Linked DNA regions of Callithrix jacchus. The protein of the gene in region 1 purifies or fractionates together with the protein of each later gene. This does not show direct contact. Links are inferred from orthologs where the notes say so. Each region holds a gene or a part of one and is shown on either strand. Other genes may lie near its edges. The genes, in order: ACAD9 and TIMMDC1.

The links.
Region 2: the proteins of ACAD9 (region 1) and TIMMDC1 purify together in Homo sapiens (affinity purification with mass spectrometry; 3 studies listed by BioGRID and IntAct, counting the BioPlex papers as one, with this or other methods). This does not show direct contact. The link is inferred for Callithrix jacchus from reciprocal best matches to the Homo sapiens genes ACAD9 and TIMMDC1.

Annotation. Positions count from the first base shown.
Region 1 is NC_133516.1:73,255,070-73,257,790, forward strand, and holds part of ACAD9 (complex I assembly factor ACAD9, mitochondrial), read right to left. Parts: intron 2,556-2,721; coding exon 2,429-2,555; intron 2,185-2,428; coding exon 2,107-2,184; intron 1,725-2,106; exon of another isoform or gene 1,580-1,724; coding exon 1,451-1,579; exon of another isoform or gene 1,259-1,450; coding exon of another isoform or gene 1,224-1,258; intron 885-1,223; coding exon 812-884; intron 290-811; exon of another isoform or gene 1-289. UniProt on the Homo sapiens protein: As part of the MCIA complex, primarily participates in the assembly of the mitochondrial complex I and therefore plays a role in oxidative phosphorylation.
Region 2 is NC_133516.1:83,300,151-83,303,974, forward strand, and holds part of TIMMDC1 (complex I assembly factor TIMMDC1, mitochondrial), read right to left. Parts: intron 1,053-3,824; coding exon 964-1,052; intron 640-963; coding exon 572-639; intron 1-571.

The DNA.
Region 1 (2,721 bases):
CTGGACTGAGCTGGGCATTCCCAGGTATGGTTGAGTGGCTATAAAAGAGGAAGAGCAATGCAGACAAGACTGGGGAGCACGAGCAAAGCTCTCTGTTCTCTCAGCCAAGGCCTGAGCCCTCTGCAAGGCACTGCAAGGTCAGTGGGTAAAAGGGCAGATAAAATGCTGTCTCCTAAATCTCCAGATCTTACAACCAGGTGCTCCTCACTTTGTAAGCCTTCCCAGGACAGCTTCAAGAATATAGTCAGGGCTGGGCATGGTGGCTCACGCCTGTAATCCCATTTTGGGAGGCCAAGGTGGGTGGATCACCTGAGGTCAAGAGTTGGAGACCAGCCTGGCCAACATGGTGAAACCCCATCTCTACTACATATACAAAAATTATCCAGGCATGGTGGTGTATGCCTGTGATCCCAGCTCCTCTGAAGGCTGAGGCAGGAGAACTGCTTGAACCTGGGTTGCAGTGAGCAGAGATTGTACCACTGCACTCCAGTCTGAGTGACAAGATGATACTCTGTCTCTATCTCCCAAAAAAAAAAAAAAAAAAAAACAGCCAGGCAGCAGGCTGGGCAGATGCCAGGGGCTCTGCACTTGCTTGATCTCAAACTGCCTTGGTGAATGGAGCAGCTTTGCACCTACAGTGCCTGGCAGGCACTCTACAGCTAAGCCCAGGCTTACCCAGGCCCTCACTCAAGACAAAGGTCTGTGAGTAGCCAACAGGCACTGGGAGCTTGACAGGGTCCAGAAACAGCTCATCATCAACAGGGGCCCAGAAGTGGGCCCTTCCTTCCCTCCCCCAAGACATGCCACTCACACTTGTCCAGCTGAGAGAGGCTGAAGAGATTCTGGAAGTAAGCTTCCACGCAGAAGGTGTTGGCCAAGAGAATCTGCCAGAACCGAAGACAGAAAAGATGTGCCCAAATCCCTGTAATCTGACCTCTGAGCTTCAAAAACCCAGCCTGTCAGCCAAACTGGGTAGTATGGGAGGGGTCAAAGGGCTTGGCTCAGGAGTCTCCCCTGACCCAAACTAGCTCTTTTCCCAAAAGCAAGTGACTCAACATCTGAGCCTGTTTCCTCTGAGAGGCAGAGAGCTTGGTACACAGTGGGTCCTCAGAGACTGCACCTGCCTCCCTCCAGCAGAGTGGGCAATGTGCAGGGTCTGCCCCTCGTTGTGGGTGGGGACACTGGATCAGGAACCCCCATCACTCACCTGTGTCTTCTCTCAGGCAGGAAGAAGAAACGGAACAGCCTCATCTCCTAAGCAGCACAGCCTCTCCCATAGCCTCCCCATGCAGGGCCTATGGACACCCCCTGAACTGGCCCAGCCCTCCTCTGCTGGGACTAACAAGGCCCCCCTTACCCGCCCACCCCCCTCCCCGACAATCAACTTCATTAAAGTGCAGCAGGACAGAGGCCAGCAGCCAGGCCCTGTGTGAAGCTGGGCAGTGCTCACCTCGTGGTCGTGGTTACGGAGCCCGATGCGGATGGAGCGGCTGGCCCGCGACAGTACAGCCGTCATGCCATACAGGTTGATGAGGATGTTGGCTACCCGCTTCAGCACCAGCTGCTCCTCCCCGATAGTCTGGGATCACAGAGACTCTGAGTGGAGACTCACTACCTAAACCAGCCCCCAACATGGTCCCTCCCAGGGCGGCACCTTTGCCTGTCTTAGTCTCCCGTTTTCCTTGAGAAAGTGGAGCCAGTAACACCTTTCCCTTCAGGTTGCAGGAGAACCGGCTCTTTGGTCTGTTTTCCCTTCTCTTTGGTCTCTAGATTCAGGGAGGGGGTTAAGGCATGACCAGGTCCCAGAAACTTGGCTAAGACCAACAGCCAGTGCCTACTGTGCTACTGTCATCTTCGGCAGTAAGAGCCCCACCAATCAGATCCCCAGATTCAGGCCCCAGGTGGTGCTGCCCTTCTGATTCTAGGGAGCCTCTCTTTACCTGGAAGGTGCACAGAAAAACACAGCAGAATACTCACCCAACAAGGGTGCCCTCTGAGTAGCTAAGTGGGCCCCAGGACAGGCTGATAAAGCCAGCCTGACCTCAGCCACCCCATTCCTCCAGGGTGATCAAGATTTCTGTTCTAGGCCTGGGAGGGCCTGGTTACCTTGCCAAAGCGGAGCAGCAGCGTCTCCACGGTCCGGCCGAAGTAGTAGGTGTTCTCCTCTAACTTGTTGGCACTATCCTATTAGCCAAGACAGGACTCAGTTCAGCACCTCATCCCTACCATGCCCTGTCCTGTCCCACAGCTCAAGTACCAGGCAGAGATGCCCCATCTGGGGGAAGCAATCCAAGGTGTCATGGACTAGCTGGTGCTCCCCAACTTTCCCTGGAGGAGCCTAGACCGCCCCCACAGTGAACCTTTCTGCCATGAGGAGATCTGGCAAGAGGGCATGCAAGTAGGGGGTATGCCTGCTGGGCCCACTCACCTCAAGACTGGGGTGCACGACTCCAAGTTTGCCTGTCAGCCCCATGTCCACGGTTCTGCCCGTGAAGTCCCAAAGCCTCCGGCCAACAGTCTCCATGACTGTGCTCACACTGGCCCGTTTAAGCTCACTGCAGAAAGTCCGTGGTCCCGTAACTGGAAGCCTTGCTGCTAGTGTTCACTGTCCAGCAACATGGCCTCCCTGGCCTGGGTATGCTGGGCCCCTGGCTACAGGCTGAACTCTCCCCACCCCATCAATTTCAGGAGAGTAGCCAATCTCCTCAGGAGTGCCACACG
Region 2 (3,824 bases), about 10 Mb from region 1:
TATCACAGCAACCTGTTTTATCACATACATATTAGACACTAAAATCTAGAGAAAGAAAGGGCCTTGCTATTTTGCTCATTGAGTATACCAAGGGTGAAGCACAACACTGTCTATAATGACATTTTGCATGAATGTTGATAAGATGTGATAGGAAGCCAACCAAAGAATTCAGTAGTTCTGATTTATAAGTCTTCATATATTTTCTTTCTTTTTTTTTTTTTTTTTTGAGACAGAGTTTCGCTCTTGTTACCCAGGCTGGAGTGCAATGACGCAAATTCGGCTCACCGCAACCTCCGCCTCCTGGGTTCAGGCAATTCTCCTGCCTCAGCCTCCTGAGTAGCTGGGATTACAGGCACGCGCCACCATGCCCAGCTAATTTTTTGTATTTTTAGTAGAGACGGGGTTTCACCATGTTGACCAGGATGGTCTCGATCTCTTGACCTTGGGATCCACCCGCCTTGGCCTCCCAAAGTGCTGGGATTACAGGCTTGAGCCACCGCGCCCGGCCGTCTTCATATATTTTCTAAGCTGTATTTGAGAAGATTGGAAAATATAAACAAAAATGTCTTACCTCCTGCAATTACAAAATGGCTTACGGCATTTTTATTTCGGTATACATTCAGACCAGCGTTCACTGTGCTAGGAACAAGTGAGAAGGAAAATATAATATTTAAAGCATATCCCATTTATCTTTTTGAGTGTTATTTTCGCTGACTTAATAGATTTAGAAAAGCCTACTGTATCAATCTCTGGTCCTAGCCTAGGCCCCTTCAATGTGTTCCAGACATGGATGTCAAACCAAAACTATGCCAGTCATTTATATAAACAAAAGTTCTTGAAAAAAAGGTATCATGAATCACTTTCATGTGGGTATTCAGTTTTCATAATCCCACCCGCTCATAAGACACACTGCTAAAACAATATCAAGAAAATTTACCATCTCACAATTCAGCGTGAACTTACTTGAATATAGTCACAAACACTGCAGTTCTCCAACCCCAGCGCCAGCCATACCGAATGAAGCCTCGTGTGGCAGCACGATGTGCACATTGCTAAAGTTAATTAAAAAAACTGTGAGGTTCCAAGACACCATCATATTTTCCTTATTCTAGAACTGTGGTAGAGGAATTTTAGCTATGGATTCGTCAGGTACACCTAAACAGACAGAAATACTAGAAAATCTCTAGAAATATTATTATTTAAGTATTGAGGCTGAAGTAAAAGTTCCATGTGTACCCTATCAGGAGATGGAAAATGGTTGAGTGTCCCTTATCTGATATTTGAGACCAGAAGTGTTTTGGATTTTGAATCTTTTCAGATTTGGGAATATCTGCATTTAACACTTATTGGTTGAGCATCCCAAATTCAAAAAACTGAAATCTGAAATGCTCCAATGAGAACTCCTTTGAATGACATGTCGATGCTCAAAAAGTTTTGAATCTGAGCATTCAGGATTTCAGATTTGTGATGCTCAACCTGTAACAAATTATAAATCTATAATATAAAATAAGAATCCATGAGTCCCTACTGATAGAAGTAAATTATAAAGAGATAAATAAATAAGTAAATAGAGGGGGAAGGATAAACACTTCCTTAGAGCATAATACTAAGCAATAAATGTAGGAAGAATGATAGACTTTAGAAAATGTCCATTTGGTCAACATAGTCATATCTGTCTCAGGCAGGAATCATCATTAAATACTAAAACTTCCTGGGTATGGTGGCTTACAGCTGTAATCTCGGCACTTTGGGAGGCAATGAGGGAGGGTTGCTGGAGCCCGCAAGTTCAAGACCAGCCTGGGCAACACAGCGAGATACTGTCTTTACAAAAAAAAAAAAAAATTTTAGATTAGCTGGGCATGGTGGTGTGCATTTGCAGTCCTAGCTACTCAGAAGGCTGAGGTAGGAGGAAAGCTGAAGTCCAGAAGTTTGAGGTTGCAGTGAGCTTTGATCACGCCACTGCACTCCAGCCTGGGTGAAACAGCAAGACCCTGCCTCAAAAAATATATATATATATAGATATACATAGATATATAGATAGATAGACAGATACTAGGCTTAATACTTGGGTGATCAAAGAATCTGTATAGCAAAACTCCATGACACGCATTTACCTAAGTAACAAACCTGCAAATCCTGCACATGCACCCCTGGACTTAAAGGATTAAAAAAAAAGTTACGTTCAAATTGTGTATGTGTTTTCCCATGTGTGTAAACACATACACAAAGAGGGAGAGTACACGTAGTAGCAAGAAGATAAAGCAAGTGCGGTGAATTAACAATGGATAAATCTCTGTAATCTGTGTGTGTGTGTGTGTGTGTGTGTGTGTGTGTGTATGGCTGAGCACAGTGGCTTACACCTATAATACCAACACTTTGGGAGGCCACGGAGGGCATGCTGCTTCAGGAGTTTGAGACCAGACTGGGCAACATGGCCAAAACCCCGTCTCTACAAAAACAAAAAAATTAGCCGGGCATGGTGGCACATGCCTATAGTCCCAGCTACTTGGGACGCTGAGGCAGGAGAATTGTGTAAGCTTGGGAAATGGAGGTTGCAGCGAGCCAAGATTGTGCTACTGCACTCCAGCCTAGGTATCAGAGTGAGACCCTGTGTCAAAAAATAAATGAATAAATAACTTAAAAAAAAAATTAAAAAAGTATAAATGCCAAAATAGCATTTGATGAAAATAAATTTGATGAAAAGTAGGATATTTACATAGTCTCAAAGGAACTAACAAGTACTCAAAATACTTATAAATTACAAAGGGAAAACAGTAATTTTACAGGGTATAATTGGCAGAGGCCATCTTAACCAAGTAACTAAAGTAAACATCACCAATAAAGGAACAAAGATATCACATGCTTCTGATTTAATATAAGTTCTAGGGTATTCCTGTCAAAAAACAGCCTGAGAAGCCATCAAACATAAGAAACCATCAAACAAATCCAAACTGAGGGATATTCTACAAAATAAATTATCCATAGCCAAGGCCATGAAAAATAAACAAACAACAACAACAACAACAAAAAAAAAAAACCAGAGAAACTCTTTCAGACTAAATGAGACCAAAGCTGCATGACAAGCAAATTCAGCAGATTCTGGACCAGACCAAAAAAAATTTTTAATTAATTTTTTAATAAGCACTCAAACCTAACTTCTGAAAAAAAACTTTTTAAAATTTATTTTTAAAATAAATGATATTGTGGGATAACTAGCAAAATTTACAGGTCTTTAAATAAGATAACAGTACTATATCATTGTTAATTTCCTGATCTTGATATAATAGTGGTTGTATAATCGAATGTTCTTGTTTTTATGAAATACACACTGAAGTATTCATTATGTCTATAACCTACTGTCAAGTAGTTCAGAAAAAATTAGTACATATTATACAGAGGGAGAATGATAAAACATACATGGTAAAATGTTAACTGGAGAACCTGGATGGAAGGTATATAGGAAATCTTTGTACTATTGTTGCAACTTTCAAGCCTGCCATAATTTCAAAAGAAAAGGTTAAAAATTTTCACCCACTTTCATCTTAGCTGAATTAAAAGGGAGGGGGAAAAAAGAATAAAGAAAAAGTTAAAAATTCTCTGAGCTTGAGCCAGGTGCAGTGGCTCATGCCTGTAATCCCAGCACTTTGGGAGGCTGAGACAGGTGGATCACAAGGTCAGGAGATAAAGACCATCCTGGCTAACAGTGAAACCCCATCTCTACCAAAAACACAAAAAATTAGCTGGGCGTGGTGGCACACGCTAGTCCCAGCTACTTGGGAGGCTGAGGCAGGAGAATTCCTTGAACCCAGGAGGCGGAAGTTGCA